Linked DNA regions of Astyanax mexicanus. Each later gene encodes a partner of the first gene's protein in a complex. Links are inferred from orthologs where the notes say so. Each region holds a gene or a part of one and is shown in the gene's direction. Other genes may lie near its edges.

Evidence for each region. Proteins that work in one complex are often made in the same cells at the same time.
Region 2: the proteins of f2 (region 1) and f2r are in contact, whole or in part, in a crystal structure (PDB 3LU9), measured with the Homo sapiens proteins. The link is inferred for Astyanax mexicanus from reciprocal best matches to the Homo sapiens genes F2 and F2R. Residues at the interface, in NP_000497.1 of Homo sapiens: Phe382, Arg383, Pro386, Gln387, Glu388, Leu389, Leu390, Cys391, His406, Cys407, Tyr410, Trp413, Lys415, Leu423, Arg425, Arg431, Thr432, Arg433, Tyr434, Ile441, Met443, Glu457, Asn458, Leu459, Asn506, Thr510, Lys517, Gly518, Gln519, Arg541; in NP_001983.2 of Homo sapiens: Ala33, Thr34, Asn35, Thr37, Leu38, Asp39, Pro40, Arg41, Ser42, Phe43, Leu44, Leu45, Arg46, Asn47, Pro48, Asp50, Lys51, Tyr52, Glu53, Pro54, Phe55, Trp56.

Annotation. Positions count from the first base shown.
Region 1 is NC_064430.1:14,446,345-14,456,822, forward strand, and holds the start of f2 (prothrombin), read left to right. Parts: upstream 1-6,092; 5' UTR 6,093-6,190; coding exon 6,191-6,266; intron 6,267-6,382; coding exon 6,383-6,540; intron 6,541-6,851; coding exon 6,852-6,876; intron 6,877-7,441; coding exon 7,442-7,513; intron 7,514-8,243; coding exon 8,244-8,349; intron 8,350-8,558; coding exon 8,559-8,689; intron 8,690-9,923; coding exon 9,924-10,235; intron 10,236-10,478. Other genes in the region: znf408 (zinc finger protein 408), read left to right, coding at 1,020-1,273, 2,506-4,325. UniProt on the Homo sapiens protein: Thrombin, which cleaves bonds after Arg and Lys, converts fibrinogen to fibrin and activates factors V, VII, VIII, XIII, and, in complex with thrombomodulin, protein C. Functions in blood homeostasis, inflammation and wound healing.
Region 2 is NC_064429.1:20,552,017-20,562,337, forward strand, and holds f2r (proteinase-activated receptor 1), read left to right. Parts: upstream 1-6,269; 5' UTR 6,270-6,429; coding exon 6,430-6,508; intron 6,509-8,324; coding exon 8,325-9,490; 3' UTR 9,491-9,888; downstream 9,889-10,321. Other genes in the region: ras GTPase-activating-like protein IQGAP2, read left to right, coding at 393-536, 3,670-3,778, 5,253-5,366. UniProt on the Homo sapiens protein: High affinity receptor that binds the activated thrombin, leading to calcium release from intracellular stores.

The DNA of each region.
Region 1 (10,478 bases):
CATTTAAAGGTTTTGAAAGTTTAGGGCTCTGAATTTATGCTCAAATTAATTGTGGCAAAAGCTGCTCCCTTCAAATAATAACAGTAATTATAATTGTTATTATATTTGTTAATAATATTGTTTAAATGTCCCTTTCTACACTGCAAAAGCACAATGGAAACAATACTTGCATATTTAATGTGAGTAAAGTTTAATACAAACAACACAAGTAAAACCATAACACAAGATCAATGTTGTTTCAGTGCATTAAATATGCAGAGTTGCCTCATCTTTATATGGTTTAAAGTCTCTGTGGACTGAATGAAGTTTATTAACTACAACGTGGCTGTTTAAGCATGTAATTAACAGCAACAAAGTCAGTTTTTCTCTTCATACACAAGACCATTTATTTGAAAAATGTTGATAAATGTCTTTTCCTTATTTACATAGACCTATTCATAATCTGTAATATATTCATAATATGGCACTGTTCTGCAAAAATGCCACTTGGATAAACAGAGCATTATATTTATTGGGGAGAAGCTTATGTTTTAAATTCAACAATGACTTTTTATTGGAAAATGTGTCAGGCATTTCCTCAGCAATTCACATGTGTACAACCATTCAGCCAGTTATCAAGTTCAACCATTCAACCATTTCTGTATAAAATATGATCTGGAATAGATTATTTTAAATAGTGTCATGGCATGGATTTAGTCAAAAGCAAAATCCAGCAGAAGTAACCATGAGGTAAATTAGCTAATTAATGAGTATTTAAAGATTCTCATTGGCTTTGTGTTTTATCACTTGCTCATTTAAGCACTAAAAATTCTGTTTCACACTAAAGAGCTATCTAGCCTGACACCACATTTTGCCATGACAGTCATGACAGTCAAGGGAAATGTCATTAAACAGTTTACAGTAGTGATTTCTATGAATCCGGCCCTTTAATAAACTCTGACTTGGAGGCTTAGCTTAATTTACATACCTTTACAGTGTGCTTGTTTATGTGTCTCACGATGATCAATCTGCCTCTCCAGGTTTGCCTGTAATTCTGCGACTGAAGAGGAGAGAAATGTCCTTGTGCACAAGGTGGATGGGAAGCTGTGCCTTAGGACTTGTAAAGATTTGAGCCCAGGAACGGAACTCCTGGTGTGGCCAGAGCAGAATAATGATCTGTCTCAAACTGTGAAGCTAGAAAAACCCTGCAAAGAGAGCACACCATGTGGGCTGACTGAGGATAAAACCACATGCCCTGGCCCAATGGAACAAGACTCAAAAAGGGAATGTGAAGGTTCGTGCACAGTAGCTTTTAGAGGGACATGGCTTTTGGGTTTAATTTAACTTTGACTGTGTAAGCAAGGCAGCCATTAAGAAAATGCATTAAATTGGCCCATGAAATTGTGTGTTTAATTTAAAGACCATATTATGCCTCAGGCCTCACACACCTCTACATTTTGTTTTATACTGTGTTATATTGAAAGTATTTTTCATAGCAAATTATACAGAGTGCCACTCCTTAGTCACAGTGCCTGAGGACATTATTCACCGCATACTAGTGTGTGTTTTGTATTATTTTAATATATATATTTTTTTACCACAATTGGAGATTGCCTACCTGATGGATGCACGAAAGGATGAATTGCAATGAGAGCAGCCTCACTGAAAAATGAGTATGGCCTTGCTACATCACCAAGTAACTTGCTACATCATCCCAGCATCACACATAGGACATCAAAGATATTTTAAACAAGAAGGAAAAGCTTATAAAGGAATTATCTGTACCTACAGATATAAGGCCAATTTATACTTCTTGCAGCTACACTGCAGGCAACGCGTTAACTCAACGCAGAAGTATAAACCAGCCATTACATTATAATGGGATCAAACTAATAATAGAACTGCTAAATAAAAAATGGCCTACTTCCATCTACATTGTTCGTTTGCTTCAATTTCATTTTAAAAACTTTGCAGACATGTCCACAAGTTGCCAGCCAAAAAAAGTGGACATGTACCATAAGGCCGTGCCATAGTTGCCGTTTGACTAATTAGAATTAGTTTTGCTGTGTTGCTAAATCAGCACCAGGAAATGTACTGATTTCAGAGTTAGAAAAGAGCATGCTAGAAAGTTAGCTATGGATCTTGTAGCACAAGGTGACAGACAAATGTGGGGCCAGTCAGCAGATTTCATCATTAGGCCTTTCCAGTGGACGGTTGTTTTGCCCCAAGTATGGTAAGCTAGACACAGTAAAATAAAAAAAAGTTAAGCTCAGCCCAGTTTGTAGGAGTTCTATATGAAAAAGCCACTGGAATAGTTAACCTTCTCCATGCATAGACTTTTTGTCTATGTAGTGGAAAAGAGGCCTAGGCAAACCTTTCAGAACTGCTGTTAAGAGACGGAGAAAACATTTAAAAGAACAGTTCATAGAATTCTCCATGAATCGTAAAGAAACGGATCTTTTGTTCCCCTCCTAAGTTCAGACTGACGTTTTAACATGTATCACATATGCTTCGTGTATTTCACAGAATCAGTGGTGAAGGACCCTACTGACAACTCAGAAGAGGCTCAGAAAACAACACATCCTAACATTCAGAGGAAGAGGCCACTAATCTCAAGTGTAAAAAATAATCCTGTGCGCTCCTCTCAAACCGTGGAAACTGGTAATCTGGGACAGACTGCTTTGGATGACAAAACAGACAATGACCAGCAAGAAGCAGAGGATAAATCTAGTCCTGGGGTGCTGTGCAGCATCCGAGAATCCAATTCTCAGGAACAGCTTAAAGGAGCTGAGAGAGCCAGCCCTCGCCTGGCAGCTAAACCTCGCAAAGTCCACTCGCTAAGCAGGTGCATGCACAGGCGACAGCAAGCAAAGCTGACAAATGCGGCTTCTGCCTGTGTTGATAAAAAGATGCTGACTACAGAAACTAGCACTGGAAGTGGATCAGCTCTGGGAGAAAAAATCCTCACTGAAAATTCTAACTCTGATGAGAAGCAATCTGGTCTGGTATGGATAGAAAAGGAGGGTTCACCAGAACTCTTACGGTTCAGCCCACGAGAGCGGAACTACAAGTGTGACCTGTGTGCTAAAAGTTTCTTTCAGCTGTGTCACCTAAAGAAGCACAAGTTCACGCACTCCGAGCTGAAGCCTTATGCTTGCACAGAGTGCGACAAAACCTACAGCTCCCAGGAGAGTTACCGTGCACATTTGCTTATGCACCGTGGACAACGGCCTTTTAAGTGCCAGCAGTGTGACAGAAGCTACGGGCTCAAACGTGACCTCAAGGAGCACCAGGTGCTTCATACGGGTGAAAAACCCTTTGTTTGCGATGTTTGTGGCAAGGCTTTCGCACGCCGGCCTTCGCTGCGAATCCACAAGGAAATCCACAGAGCCAAAGAAGCGGACTACCAAGCACCAAAGATCAAATGCACTAAGTGTGGCAAAGAGCTGGCAAACCGGAGCTCCCTGAGGAATCACATGCGATTGCACACAGGCGAGCGGCCGTACGTCTGCTCCGACTGCGGCAAGAGCTTCCGCCAGCGCGGCAATCTGCAAAGCCACCTGCGCATTCACACTGGAGAAAAGCCATACAGGTGCAAGCACTGCGACCAAACCTTCTCGCAGGTGCCGGAGCTGCGTCGGCACCTCATTTCCCACACAGGTGAGGCATACCTGTGCCCAGTGTGTGGCAAGGCACTGCGCGACCCTCACACCTTGCGAGCCCATGAGCGCCTACACACTGGCGAAAGGCCTTACAAGTGCGAGCAGTGCGGAAAAGGGTACACGTTGGCCACTAAGCTGCGCAGGCATATGAAGTCCCACCTGGATGAGAAGCCACACAAGTGCGAGACATGTGGAACCAGATTTACGCTTATGCAGAGTCTACAGCGCCACCTACAGTCCCACCAGAAAATAACTAAGAAAGGACATGCAGCGCCAGCCAGGGGTAGACCTAAAAAGATGACTCCTAAAAAGAGAGGTGGACAGTCAGGTCATTGTCAAGGCAAGAAGAAAAAAGAAGAAGAGGAAGGTGTGGTTTATGTGCAAGCCCTAGCAGAGAACTGCAGAGAAGGTGCTGAAGTTTTTGAAGAAGGGCCAGAACAAATTGAGCTTAGTGAGGACATTGTAGAAATTGTTGTTTCAAATGGCAGCAACAAGTGTATCATGGTTCAGGAACTGGAAGCTAATGCTAAGTGCATTGTTTTACGGGAGGATGAAGAGAATAAGAAATGCATAATTGTACAAGAAGAGATTAATAATAATAGTACCCTGGTCATTATGCAGGACCATGATGATCCTAACTCAGTGGCAGAAACTGTTGAAATCGATTCAGCCACCCAAGACTGAACATGTTAAGCTCATTGTGACTATTAGTGTGTCATTTGATTTGAAGGTTATTTTGCAGTGGTAACATCTGCGTTAGAGACATCAGTAAATATTGACTTATCTGCCCACTGGACCTTGTCATCACTGTTTGTTCCAGATCTGAACAGGCACACTGCTGGTAACGAATATGTCAGGAACATGCTGATTATTGGTGATACTGTTATCTTATTATGAGTCAAATCATGTTTAAATTATATTTTTTAAGAAAAAATAACAATGATGAAATATTAAATTAGAGCTGGGGTGAAATATCATGATTAATATATTATGTCACAGTATTTAAAGTAGAGCTGGAGCCAAGAGATTTTGTCATATAGGTATACATTTTCTTATTGTATTGACAATATGCTTTTTTAAAGCATATCGAGGATATCATCAGTGGTTAAAGAGCATTGAGAAAAATGTGCATTACATTACAGAGAAACAACCCAGTTTGATTGGATGTAAAACTCTGTGTATTGTGAAAGTCTAGTATCATGGTATAATATTTTTTACCAAATAATCAGCGCTTGATTATTTACACCACGGGTGGTGGAATTTATACTGTTAATATTGATATCAGAATTATATCGCATTATAGAAATGAAGAAATTTAATGTGATATCAAGTAATTTAAAGACATTTTCAAAACATGCAACATTTATCACATCATTTGTCCCTATGTTTTGTCACAAAGACAAAAAGCATCAACATTGTCAGATTCTTGTATGTTAAATAACATTAAACAAATTGCAAATTCTTTCCATCTCTTCCTTGTGTGTAGTCCTTGTTTTACTGTAATGATGCTGCTGAAATCTAAATTTCCCTGAGGAAATCTTCCCAAGTGGATCCATAAAGATCTATCTATCAAGTACTGTTTCATGCATAGTAAAGTAATGTTTTTTTTTTTTGCTGGACAACATTTAAAACTAGTACAGTTGGGTCATTGTTCTTTGTCCTCTTCTTTTAAAAAGCCCAAAAAAAGTCAGACGATAAGAAATGCAATGAAATATTTTCATATTGCCCAACTCTATATTAACGTTTTATTTGAATTCCTATCTGAATTAACTGCTTATTGATGCAGCTTGAAACAGTCTAAGTACCACAGATCTTCAAGATGTGGTGGAGTCAGTAAAGAACATAGGCAGTGGATGATTTTAGAGTTGGATGGAGTTTTAGGGAGTCATGGAATTTTTGAAAACATTTCATTTGTCAAAGCTTAAATTGCTGCACCACCCACTGCACTGTCCACTGTGAATAATAATTCTTCATATGACATAATCCAGGTACACATATGACACTTTGGATTGAGAAATATTATGTCCCATCCATCTGGCACACACTATCAGGCCTCGCTCCAACACCAGTTATTCACATTGGCCATATTGCCATGAGCTCGATGGCCACTGCTCACTCTCACAAGATAACACCTCACAGCGTATACAGATGTGTGCATTCCCAAGCTGTCCACTGATATAATACTTTACATTTAATTTACATACTGCTATTCTATGATTTCATACAAATATAAGTCCATTTTGTTTAGGAAAATGACTGGTGACTGGTTTAGTATTATTATTTCATTCATATCATATTATGGGTTGATAATGAATGTTCCTAAGTGTCCTTAGATATTTCTAGAACATCAGGGCTGAATCATGAATCAGTGATCAGAGTGATATGAGCTTGCACACAATCTCTGTTTTCTGTTCTCTTTGAACTCCACTGGTTCAATATTAACTCGAGGGCAGCAGTGGAAGGTTTTTGGGGGCTTGCTAGCAGCTCTGTGGCTTTGTCTCCAGTGATGTTCCAGGTCTTTTCAGGATTCCAGTAGTCCCTGTAAAAGAATGGGAGCAGTACCAGCACCGATCCTTGTCACACTTCTTCTCAGCCAAGTGCTCCAGCTTACACTGTGCTATGATGGTGAGAAACCCATGTTAATACTTTTGGTATCAAATATATTGTATGTAAAATGGTGTGTCTATAGAGTTAATAGGTTTGTGGAGGTAGACGGTTAATCTTGTGTACGTTTTTGTCAGTTTTTATCGATAGTAAGAGGGCTTCTCAGGTTATCCGAGTAAGGAGAGCAAACACACTCTTAGAGGAGCTGAAGCAGGGAAATCTGGAGCGAGAGTGTGTGGAGGAGATCTGTAGCAATGAGGAGGCTCGAGAGGTGTTTGAGATAAGTGACAAAACGGTAAGGACTGCTGAATTCTGCTACATGATGTGACGTATGTAATCCTGTTTAAATTAAATACTTCTCAACATAACATTTGTAAGGTCACTTTCCCAGACAGGGATTTAATTAGTCTTAGACTAAGCCTTTCAAAAATATGTAGTCTACAACTTAATCCTCAAGCTTAATCCTTGTGGGAAAATTGCCTGTGTGTGGACACCATTATTGTTTACTGTCTTGTTTATTGCATTCATCGACATACCATTCCAGAAAGTGGTAGATTAATTTTGTTTTATTTAAACATTTTGTAAAATGGTTTCTCTTTCTTTTAGGTTCAGTTTTGGGAGAAATACTTAGGTAAGGCATTACACCACAAACTTCCCAGTAGGCAGCAAAGTCAGCAGTGACCACATTTTGAAATGTAAATATACATTATTGAACCAGGAGCAAAGTGCAGTGTTCCCCAGTGTTTTTTTTTCCTTCTGAGTAATTACCAAATCAAAGTCCTAAACTGGACTTTATTTAATCTAAGGGTTTCTAATGTCAGTCAAGAACAATACAAAAACGCAGTGTACTATTAGGCTTCCTGAGCATTTGTTAGTTGCAGTATTCCTTTAATGTGTGTGTATATTAGTTCCAGGCCAGTGATAATAAGCTATTGAAAAATGACACAGAAATGACAGAAATGTTATGTAAGGAACACTTTATATAAATAATGTTTATATTTCATAAAATTGAATGAAAATAAAGAAGTTTAATCTCATTACCATCTTTTTTATGGTTTTGTTAGCTTTAACTGTTTCTGGAACAATGTGATGGCAATAGTGAAAGTTCAGGAAACTCATTAAAACAGGGCAAGCATAAACATACCGTGATTATCTCAACACTGTTTAGATCTATTTTGTACTGCTTTCTTCCACAGCTTGTGATGGCAACACTTTGAAGAGGACTCCAGACAATATTTCGAAAGTAAGAACGTGTGTGAATAAAAAAGGTAAGGGCAACATTTCATAAAAAAAAATGCACCCATTGTATACAGATGGTTGTTATTCCCAGTTTGACCAGCCTGTTTTATAAGATTTAGAGATGGATTCAGCGTACAGCACATAATCTATGTTAAATTAATATATAAATAAATTAATTTCCTGTGGAGAATGAAAAGAGTATATTAGTATAAATAACTGTGTCAAAATATTAGTTCACACTTACATGTATGTAAAAAATGTAAACTCTGCATTCTGTAGTTTGTTTGTGGTGAGGACATGATTCGTCCTTGATTCAAACAACTACCAATGTTGCTGCAATTAAACTGTACAGATATACACTAGTCCAGAACACGCGAACCACGTTCCAGACTATTTACATAAACTATTTTCTAGATGGTTTTGACTTTTAGACCACAAATAGGAGGTCAAGGAAAGCTATATTTATCCATTCAACAACAGAAAAAGATCATAAACGATAATACAACAAAAATACAAGAATCAAAGGGAAATATATCTGTTAAGCTTATACTGCTGTATGAAACGTGCACACAATGGGAAGATGAGTCTGGGGAGATGCAGTCTGTGTATCAAATACATCAACATTGATTTGGAATCTGGTGTGAAGATGCTCTGAGATAAAGAAACATTGATGCTCTAAAATCTATAAAGGCAACTTCTACTACTTCAGTTAGTAGAGCCGTGTATTCATATATGTGTTGATCATTGTGTGCTGTACAGATCACTGCTATCTCAACACTGGTGAGCACTACAGTGGTGATGTTAACCTCACTATATCTGGAAAGACTTGTCAATACTGGAAAAGCAACTTCCCCCACAGAATCATGTATGTATAATTATTTCTCTAGACCTCTTGAGCTTCACAGCTGTAGTTGTCATTGATAAAACATGGAAATAGTATTCAAGGCATAAAGACTTGTATGTTTGAAAAACAGATTATATTTTCATTTCAAATTAAAGGTCAAAATGATTTGAGAAAACTGGAAGTGTGAAACAGTTTTTGATCCATTTTAATGCATTGTTTTTCCATTCCAGTGAGATTAATCAAACACAGCTGAAACTTCCTGAGAACTTCTGCAGGAATCCAGACAAGAGCCCTACTGGACCCTGGTGCTTCACCAGCGACCCCACTGTCAGGAGGGAGAAATGTGCAGTGGCAAAATGTGGTACTGACCTTAAAGCATGCTTCACTCAAAGCACTGAACACCCCAAACATAGATAATATAGCAAACTGTGAAGGGCTTCATCTGTTTCTTATATTAAGCTCAGTCTTGAGGCATTAAGTATATCAGTAGTTAGTCTTAGTCTAGAGTTTTCATTGAGAATTTTATTTAATAAATAATAAAACATTTAGTAATATTATATTTAAGTTCCTTTATTGGTTTTATAGCAGCCAGTGATGTTTTGAAACTTAATATTATGCTGCTTTCCATTTACCGTTTACTGTATTGGGATGTATAGCTAAAAATGACCTTACACCCTGGTTGACTGGGTTCCAATTAAACCTTTAGATAATTTCTATTTCAAAGACTTTGGTGTAGAAGTTAAACAGTACTGTGTGTACAATTGATAAAATGTGAGACAACTACTGTAGATACACAGTTCTGGAAAACATTAAGAGACCACTTTAGTTTCTGAATCAGTTTATCTGATTTTGCTATTTATAGGTATATGTTTGTGTAAAATGAACATTGTTGTTTTATTCTAAAAACTATAGAAAACATTTCTCCTAAATTCCAAATAAAATATTGTCAATTTGTTTGAAGAAAATAAGAAAGGACTAAAATAACAAAAAAGATGCAGAACTTTCAGATCTCAAATAATGCAAAGAAAACAAGTTCACATTTATAAAGTTTTAAGAGTTCAGAAAAGTTTTCATGCATCTTGGCATGTTCTCCTCCACACTGCTTTAGGATAACTTTATGCCACTCCTGGTGCAAAAACTTAGCTTGTGATCATCCATCTTCCTCTTGATTTAATTAGGTAAATCAAAGAAACTCATAATTTTTAAGTGGTCTCTTATTTTTTTCTTATTTTTATTAGAGCAGGAAAACTTTTGGGGACATCCAGGTATAGATGTAGCTTAATTAGATAGAATGTAGCTTAATTTCTGTCACAGCTTGGAAAGAAAACATGTTGTAGGTTTTATGTAATTTGCACATTTTTATTGTATTTTTTATTTTGTTGACTATTATTATTTAGTTTTTGGCTTTAGTTTTAGTATTTTTTTATTTAGTATTAAACATATTTACATCTCCTGTAAATACACTTAAAAACCATTGAAAAGAACATTTCTGTCAGTTGGATTTGTTTCTGTGATTTTGTGCAATAAACCATAACTTTAGTCTATAAGTTCAACCAGTAGAAGTGGTATATTTCAGCTGTTCCCCTGTTCCGCAGGAGAGACCTTGCAGCCAGTTCCAACCGTCAAAGTGGGGACTATAGAGGAGCGCTATGCTAAGACCAAATGTATTGCTGGCAATGGAGAAACTTACACTGGAGATCTGTCTGTGACTCTGGGTGGCCACACCTGCCTGGAGTGGAACTTGCCTAAGGTGAAGGCTTTGAGTGTGGGGAAGGAGTTCAAACCAGATATACAACTAGTGAAGAACCACTGCAGGAACCCCGATGGAGATCTGGAGGGACCATGGTGCTATGTGAAGAGTGCTGCTGGAACCATCACTGTCGATTACTGTAACCTAGAGCTATGTGGTGAGCAATGGTACTGATAAAAGTGCTTTTATTACTGGTGATCACAACAAGAAGGTACACCAAATTAATGCTGTCCATTTTCTCAAATTAACCTCACACCCATTTTTTTATATTGCAGTGTGATGCAGATGTATAACCCTGGCTTGTGTCTTGCTATGATTATTTAAAAAATGCATATTACACTAAATACACTGCAAATGTCTACTAAAATATTAAATTAAAATATTAACATTTTTTTACTTC
Region 2 (10,321 bases), on another chromosome or scaffold:
GCTGCCCCAACAAACCATGTCTGGCCTCCCAACACAAAACGTGCTATAACCCAATTTTAGCCCAGCTCATGATGTTTGGTCCATGTCTGGCCCACACAATACTTGCTGTAACCCAATTCTAACCCTGCTAAAAACACAATATTATAACTTATAACTTAATAAAACTTAAAACTTCAGTACCTTATGTAGGACAACATATACAATATCTTAACATAAGTGCTCTGCCTGGCAGAGCAAGCTAAAAGGAAATGTGATGGACTGGGCAAGTATGTCTCTAGACCTTAACCCAGTTAAGCACCTGTGGGGCATCCTCAGCAGCACCACTCAAATCGCCACAAATAAAACCTTTGTTTTTGGTCACCTTGACAACATTACACATCTTATTTTCACAGGAACGCTCGCAGATCGATCAAACTTGACAAAAAAGGCGAAGAGAAGGGAAGCAAGAAGTCTAAGCAGCAGGCTTTGAAGTACACAGCTGCCCGACTGCACGAGAAAGGAGTCATTCTGGAGATTGAAGGCCTTCAGACCAATCAGTAAGTTTTTATGTACAGTAGATACTGGGGTTGGACAATAAACCTGAAACACCTGTCATTTTAGTGTGGGAAGTTTCATGGCTAAATTGGACCAGCCTGGTAGCCAATGGTCATGAATTGCACATTGCACCAGTAAGAGCAGAGTGTGAAGGTTCAATTAGCAGGGTAAGAGCACAGTTCTGTTCAAAATATTGCAATGCACACAACATTATGGGTGACATACCAGAGTTCAAAAGAGGACAAATTGTTGGTGCACATCTTGCTGGCGTATCTGTGACCAAGACAGCAAGTCTTTGTGATGCATCAAGAGCCACGGTATCCAGGGTAATGTCAGCATACCACCAAGAAGGACCAACCACATCCAACAGGATTAACTGTGGACGCTGTAAGAGGAAGCTGTCTGAAAGGGATGTTCGGGTGCTAACCCGGATTGTATCCAAAAAACATAAAACCACGGCTACTCAAATCACGGCAGAGTTTAATGTGCACCTCAACTCTCCTGTTTCCACCAGAACTGTCCATCGGGACAATAAATTATTGTGGCCTAAAACCAGGTGTTTCAGTTTCATTGTCCAACCCCTGTACAAATGGACAACAGTATTGGAAAATCAGCTCATACAATTTTTTCTTCTAAAAACTAGGGTATTACAAATAGTATATCCTGCTTTTGTTGCAGTAACTTCTCTCTACATCCATGGAAAAAGGCTTTCTACTGCATTGTGCAGCATTGCTATAATGATTTACTTGCATTTGATGACAAGAGATTGGAAAGGAGAGTCACCTTCCAGCAAGACAATGACCCTAAACTTACAGCCAAAGCTACAGTGAAATGGTTAAGCTCTAAGAACATTTATGTATTTAAATGTCCCAGTCAACATCCTGACCTAAATTCCATTAAGCGCCTGTGGCAAGACATGAAAGTTCTGAAGATTGCTGTTCACAGCTTTTTTGGAAAAAAGAATGGGGCAAAAATCTCAGTCTCTAGATGCCCAAATCTGGTAGAGACAAACATCAAAAGACTTGCAGCTGTAATTGCAGTGAAAGGTGGCTCTACTAAGCATTGATATAGGGGGCTGAATACTTTTGCATATCACACTTAGATATTTAGATGTTTGATTAAAAATGAGAAAACATTCCACTTCTTACTTATGTGCTATTTTGTTTTGGCCTATCATTTAAAATCTCTATGTTTGTATATATGTTTGTGGTTGTAAGATGACCAAATGTGAAAAAGTTCAAGGGGTATGAATATTTCTGAAAGCCACTGTATGGTGTTTTTTTTTGAGGAAATGAAGATTCCTTTATGTTTAAGATTCACATATTTTATGAAAAAAAAGCATGCTTAGTTCACCAAAAATTGTGCCCAAAGTTTTTAATGAGGTAAACTGAGCTCATATTAATGCAAGCGCCTCCATCTATGATTTAGTCCAGTGTGAAATAACATTCCAGAAAGACTCCCACTCCCAGAATTCCCACTCATGTTTGATGTAGGCCAGCTACTGTGTTTATAACACTCAATAATAACAACATGATCTGGCTCACTCAGATCAGTTTCATCAACTCTGTGCCAAAAGTATTAAGTATTTAGAATTATTACTCTGTCGGTAGAAGTATAAATAGTAGAGTTTAAAATAGCTCAACATAAGCTTTTTACTCTTAAGTAAAAGTGTAAAAGTACTGCTTATAGTATAAAAGTAAAAGTAATGTAAGGGGAAAAATGTCATTAAGACAAAAAATACATTTTTCTAAAAGGCATAATGACTGCAATATTGTATTAAAATGTTAATGTTGAAAAATTTGGGATGCACTAGGCTCCCAGTTTCAGCTGCATATACCACCATTGAAAATTGTACTGTATTTGTATTGTACTGAATTGTATTTCAGTACAAAGCAAATATATAAAATGAGACTCTTGAGTGACGGATCACCTTCATACTCGACTACATACAGCTCTGAAAAAAATGAAAAGACCATTTCAGTTTCTGAATCATCTTTTCTTTTCTTTTTTTTGCTATTTATAGGTATATGTTTGAGTAAAATGAATATTGTTGTTTTATTCTATAAACTACAGACATTTCTCCCAAAATCCCCTAAAAAATATATCTCCTCCACCAGTCTTACACACTGCTTTTGGATAACTTTATGCCACTCCTGGTACAAAGATTCAAGCAGTTCAGCTTAATTTGATGGTTTGTGATCATCCATCTTCCTCTTGATTAGATTCCAGAGGTTTTCAATTTGGTAAAATCAAAGAAACTCATCATTTTAAAGTGGACTCTTATAAACCAATAGGGTGTCAGAATGATATATGCTTCTCAATATCCAACCACAATCAGATTCAGTCTATCTGGATAGAGAGATTTATCTGGATGGGGTAATTTTGAACACTAAGAAGCCGGAATGAAAACAAGCTGAAATGAAATAGGAGTAGAAAGAGTAGAAAGAGTAACATATATTTGTTTGAATTATTCCAGTAAAGTATTGATATTGACCAACATTTCTACTTAAGTAGGGTAAAAAAGCATTTGTACTTCATTACTTGACACTTCAGTGCCAAACTGAACGATATGAAGGGAACATCAGAGACTGATCACAGAATGGTGGGAGCAGCAGCTAATCACTTTGATGTGAGTGGAGTGCTGGCTCAGCGCCGTTCAGGGGTGAGACCGGAGGGAAGGTGGCTCATTATGAGCAGTTATATATCCTATTTTGGTCTTTCTACTCCAGGCCAAAGGGAGCTTTCCAAGTGCAGAGCCGCTCTTTGCATGTGTATCACTGATAAGAAGACTTGACGTAATACAGTGGAAATGGAGGGAAGGGATCTAAAGCATTGCGCCTGCATTATCTGTGCTTAGCATGTACGATGGATGGCCTGCTCTCTCTCAGTTAACAAGCTAAAGGCCCTGCAGTGGTATATTTATCACTATTTTATCAGTTATTCTGTTTATTTTTGTTAAGAGCTGACAAAAACATATCAACAGAAGTTAGGCAGCTGAAGTCTAGTCTAGTTTTTCTCTCTAGTCGACATTCTCTTCAATATTGTTTTAACCAAGACAATTCCTGGATATTCTTTTTTCTGTATTTCCGACTTCATGTCAGATTGTGCCCTAACTTTTCTTTATCTTGATTTCAGGCTCAAAAATGTCATGTTTGACATCATACCCTGTGAAGAAGTTGGGGATTTTGAAATAAAGGCCAAGTTTTTGGGAGTGGAGATGGAAAAAGTCCAACTGCATTTCCAGGTAAATCACACCGAACAGATAATTTTTTCATCTGAACATTTCCCATAAAAACAGATTCAGTGGAATCATTTCAAACTTATAGCATCATACTTTTAAATCCACTTCTTGTGTTCCATAAAATCCTGTATGTAACTAACTACGTTAGTCATGCACCATTTATTTTATTATTGAATAAACTAATTCTTAATGTATTTTGTGTTGTTTTCCTAAGAAAGAGCAATTACAAAACTATCATTTAAAAATAATAACTGTCCAATGAAAATATTTAACCCAAACAACCCAACAAATCACATACTAGTGCATTGAAAAGTTACTTTTTTTAGGTAATTCAATTCAAAATGTGACTTCCGTTCAAAACTCATATAGATATATTACACAAAGAGTGATCAATATTTACTTAATTATTTTATTGTTGATGATTATGGCTTATACTTAATGAAAACCCAAAATCAATATCTCAGAAAAATACAATATTACATAAGACCAATTGGTCCAGCTGGAAAATGAAATCCACATCTCCATAAAAGTTGTTAGCAGAGGGAAGCATGAAGTGCTGTAAGATTTTCTGGGAAAACACTGCACTGACTTTAGACTTGATAATAAAACACAGTGGACCAACACCAGCAGATGACATGTCTCTCCAAACCATCACTGATCATCAGTAAATTTTACATTTCCTTTGGAAATCAAGAGATCAGAGTCTTGAGGAAGAGTGGAGAGACACACAGTCCAAACTGCTCGAGGTCTTGTGTGAAGTTTCCACCAATCAGTGATGGCTTATATAATATTCTAGAGAGACTGATTGTTGGGTATTTATTGGCTGCAAGTCATAAGCATCAACAATAAAACAAATAAAGCTTAAAATAGATCACTCTGTGCGTAATACATCTATATTTGAGTTTTACATTTTGAATCTGAAATAAATAAACTTTTCTATGATATTCTAATTTTTAAAGATGCACTGCTATTCTAGTCACATATTTAGCTTGCTGTCATTGCAACCTTAGTCATACATTTACCTTAGCGGTGCTATTCTAATCAAAATTCAAAAATCTTTAGCAGTGCTACTCAAGTCACATATATGAATGAAATTTATACAGAGAAATGCAGTCAACCAGATTCATGCAATGCTAATGTTATTATCCTAGTCCTATACAGCTTGTACTTTTCAGCTGAAGAAGAGACAGTTTGTGAAGAGATAGGACACTGAGTAAGCTGATACCAAGTGAGAGAATTGAAGCTGAAGGCTTTATTGACCTAATGCATGTGGTTAGTGTAAGAGTGTAAAAACAAACTTAAACCTGATGTTTCTCAGCTCTCCCTGCTGGCTCTCTCCCTCACTCCCTGCCTGCTCTGTAAATAGCAGTACACTGATACACACACATTGCTGCTGTCGCTGCTTAAACCTTGGAGGAAACATTTAATCTTTTTACTTATTTAGCTGAAAACTGACGTTTATTTTTTTCTCCTCCAGGATCTTCTACAGCTTCAGTATGAGGGAGTCGCTGTCATGAAAATGTTCGACAAGGCCAAAGTCAATGTCAACCTCCTCATATTCCTGCTGAACAAGAAGTTTTACGGAAAGTGAATTGCGTTTCAGAATTCCGTACGCATTTACTGAGATGAGCGCCTGTACACTTGGGAACGTGAACTAATGCTAATACTAAGTCTTTGATATATAATGCACAGTGAGAGAATAGTGTGTGCCTTCAGGCCTTCAGGTTAAGCTGGTTTTATATTTAAAAAAAAGCCTGCGGAACTGGGAATTCTGGGATTTCAGTTGTTGTTAATGGAGATTTTGAGTATTTAATTATAAGATATTTGCTGCATATTAAGAGTCCACATATTAAAGCTGTACATATAGAGAAGCTTAAGCACTCTGATTGACTCTGACTGCTGATTGGTGTTGATTAGAATCGCAATTAAATTGTACCAAAAACCTTTTAGCACAACTTTACCAATGAAGGCTTATAACTCGTTTATGTTTGTTTTCCACGCGGTAATTGTACATGAATTATATTTTTAAATGGTATTATAATTGAATTATATATTTTATATATAGTTAGTACTGTATGTGGACCACTGTTATGATGTCACTGTACAAAAAGAAAGAAAAAACAGGGAACAATTAAGACTTAAAATGAATGAATTTCACTATTCAAGCACTACTGCCTCTGCTTCTGAACAATTTATGGGGAAAGCCAAAAAATATATTAAAGCCACAGAAAAATCTGTTTTTCGACTAGTGCCTTCCATTCATACGTGATTAAGCTGTGTGCATATTTTAAATGATCTAATAATAAGGAGCATTGGGTAGAGCTTTTAAAAGAATGTACGGGTGATGTAACAGCTGAACTGAAATAATTAAATAAATAACATAAAAAAATACATGTGTTAACTTTCTATTATTTTTGAGAATGGGGGTGTTTAATGCCTGTTTTCAGTTCTGAGTTCAACATGTGGGCGTTCACATGTAACCAAAAGCCGAGGGGAGGGGATGTTCCCGCTCAGTCACTCCAGCAGTGAGGGAAGAATGAGTGTGTGGGACTGCGTGTGCTGTCTGACTCTGAATCTTCAGGAGCAGCTGCTTCTTCTGCAGTTTCTGAGCTGAGCTTAGTTTACTTTAGTTTACAGAGTGCTGAGCGTTTAACATGGCTGTGATTGTGCGTAGCTTTATTGCAGTGGTCCTGCTGGCTTTGGGAACTACAGCAGCAATGATGCCGGACAACGGTGAGTTAACAAATCCTACTGTAGAGCTGTATTTATTATTGCAGTTTAAATATGAAACATCTGGAGGGAGGAAACAAAACAAAAGTTTTGAATGATTCTAAAGCATGGAATTGCACTTAGATGTGGATAACAGGAACATATTATAACAATGCTATAAAATAGGTACTGGTATAAAAAGGCTGTACTGTAAGGTCACTAACATGTACTGTTAGTGAAGTTAATGTATGTAATGCACTGTACTGTTTAAAAATAAATACTGTGCTAGAAATTATGTGCTAAAACAATAAGGATATTGTAAGGCCTGAACTAATAAAAAAAAGAACAAAGTGGGTCTGTCAAAAGAAAATATTGTATGGGCTGTAACATAATAAGGGTACTGAATTGAAAGAACACTTTAAGGCCTGTATTGTTAATGAAGTTAATGTATGGGCTGTACTATTTTAAAAAGGATATATATATATATATATATATATATATATATATATATATATATATATATATATATATACATTTTTAATCGATTGACATCACTAATATATATATATATATATATATTTTTTTTTTTTTAATATATTATATTTTTATAGTTGATATGTAAATGCAAATAAAAGAGTGAATGTAAAAAATGTAAAATGCAATTACTGTATATTAGTGGTGTCAATTAAAATAATAGTATATACTTGTATGTTTGAGGGGAGATAAAATAAAAGTAGGGTGCTGGAATAAAGAATGCATGATAAATTGGATTGTAAAGGTTCTTACACACTGAACGCGGTACACCGCGCTGTATTCCGCTGTGCCGCCGCTCAGCTGGACGCTGGCCAGTTGTTGTTGCGTTGGGCTGCTGCTGACGCCAAGCGTCTCCTGCTGATAATAGGCGGAGTTTTCTAAAACCCATCACCTCTGCGAGCGGTGTTTTGTAGTTTTGAGTCTCTACAGCCTCTGTGGATCTGTATCTGTTTCTCAGCCTCAGAACAAAGCTCTGATTCTTCTCTTCCTCCTGTTATCTCTATATGAGTGTAGGGAAGTGATGTACAGCTGAGGGGATTCACTAATCGCTATTATTAGTCTCTCGCGCACGTTTATTGTTGTTTGGACTACAGTTTCTCTCTAGTCGCGTGAGTTCACGTCATGCGTTTTCTGCCGAGGTACCGCTTGATTAACGTTACTGATTCCAAATTATTTGTGTGGGCTGTACTATAATAATGTGGATATTGTGTGGACTGTACTATAATAATGTGGATATTGATATTGTGCAGGCTGTATTATAATAATGTGAATATTGTGTGGGCTGTATTATAATATTTTGGATATTTTACAGACTGTATTATAATTATGTGGATATTGATATTGTGCGGGCTGTACTATAATAATGTGGATATTTTACAGGCTGTACTATAATAATGTGGATATTGTGTGGACTGTACTATAATAATGCGGATATTAATACTGTGTGGGCTGTAGTATAATAATGTGAATATTGTGTGGGCTGTATTATAATAATGTAAATACTGTGCGGGCTGTATTATAATATTTTGGATATTTTACAGACTGTATTATAATTATGTGGATATTGATATTGTGCGGGCTGTATTATTATTATTTTTATCAATATCATAAATGCACTGAAAAGTCTCTATTACCATTATTATACTCATACTGTAAGGAACTGCACTATTTTAAAAGGGCAGATCTCTGTATTGCAGCCTGCACAGTCTTTTCCTCCAGAACTGCTTTTGTTTATGGTGTCTTCATATCTCATTTCCTCACATCGTGTCTAACTGTTATCTCTTGTCTCTTCTTGCACTCCTCTCAGGCACCCACAGCATCGTGAGGACCTTCTCAGGCTTCTTCCTGACTGTCACTGATGAGCCCTTTGAATATCTGGATGTGCAGGAAGGCAGTGGGTCTGGTATGGGCCTGGAACGTGAGCAGCACCTCCCAGTGGCCAAAGGACGCTACTATATCTCTAAAGAGGCCTCAGTGTTTCTCCAGAGTCGTCTGGCTACAGTTTTCGTGCCCACCATCTACACCCTGGTCTTCCTTACCAGCGTGCCCCTTAACCTGCTGGCACTCGTGGCCTTTGTGCGTCGGGTGCGTCCCAAAAAGCCTGCAGCCATCTACATGATGAACCTGGCGTGCGCCGACTTGCTGTTCGCTCTCCTGCTACCCTTCCGCATCTCCTACCACTACGGGGGCCACGACTGGCAGTTCGGGGAGGGGCTGTGCCGCCTGGTCACCGCGGCTTTCTACTGCAACATGTACTGCTCAGTGCTCCTGGTGACCGCCATCAGCGTGGACCGCCTCGCCGCCGTCGTCTACCCAACAGACTCGCTCATCTGGCGCACGCCTCGTAACGCGTGGGCCGTGTGCGCTGCCTCCTGGCTGCTCTCGAGTGCAGGGGTCTTCCCTTTACTCTTGTCCCAGCAGACACTGCGGGTGGCCATGTTGGAGATCACCACCTGCCACGACGTGTTGGATGTTCGCCAGCTTCGTTCCTACTACGTCTACTTCTTCCCCATCTTTGTCTCGGTCTTCTTCTTCATCCCTTTCCTCCTCAGTGCCACATGCTACTACCGCATCATCCGAGTTCTCTGCGGCGTAGCCAAGCGAGCTAAGCGCCACCGAGCCGTGCTTATGGCGGCTACGGTGTTCGTGGTGTTTGCAGTGTGCTTCACTCCAGCTAACGTGATCCTTGTGATGCACTCGGTGCACGCGGCACGAGGTCTGGCCGACTCCTCCTACGCCGCCTACCTGCTGGCCATGTGTGCAGGCAGTGCAAGCTGCAGCCTCGACCCCCTGCTGTACTATTTCGGTTCGTCACGCTGTCACAAGGTGGCGCTCGACTTCTTCACGGGAAGGAGCAGGTGGAGGAGCGAGGCGGCAGCCGGGGCGACGGACAGCTCGCAGTCCACCAGGTCCAGCAAACTGGACACATTCAAAAGCAACGCAGGTGGGCAGTACAGTAAGCTTGCGGCCTGAGCTGGACGATGGATTTTGGACCATATTATGGACAGGAGAAATATGGGTCAACTTTGACCTGAGGTGCACTTATTATATCAAAAGCAAATGTCAAAAAATAATACAAATCAAATCTCAGACTCAGATTTTAGGCAATTCAAGATAGGATATTCTGTCTGTTTTTTTTTTTCAAATCCTCCATTTCTTCAATCCAAAAAGAGAAGACCTGTGAAAAGGGGATAGCACTAAAGCAGTCTGCAGCAGGATGCTACCTGCTGTCCATAAGCTTCTATTGCTGGTTAGCTACATAAGCCTTGTAGCTCCAGTGCAAAGCTTTGTTCTTGCAGAAAACTGGGACATCACTGTTTTATCTTTTTTAGTTAAAAGCTTTGTATTCTTTACAAAACCAATAATTTCAGCATTCTCACGGCAAAGTGTTGTGATTTATTGGAGTTTATCAAAGTTTATACCACCCACAGTGGACAGAGCAGAGCAGTGGGTTGTAATGATTGTGACCGGCGGCATCTGGCTAGAATTGTCTGTGCAAACACACTCAACTCGTTCTTAATGAAAGTGTAACGGAAGCTCGTCTACAGGGCCAGCAGGCTGGGCCAAGAACTTGGAACTTGCCTATATTTAAATGTTAACTGTGTTTATTCTGTATTATGTAAACAGTGTATATGTAATATGTCAGCAACATTTAAGGACTTTTTCTTTCCCAGCTGTGGAAATCTGATTTTATACAAACAGATAAACGTGTACTTTTGTATATTTCTAAGCTAAAATGTAAATAAAAAAATTACATCAATCAGAAAACGACTCCCTTTAAAAACATTGAAAATGAGCTTTATA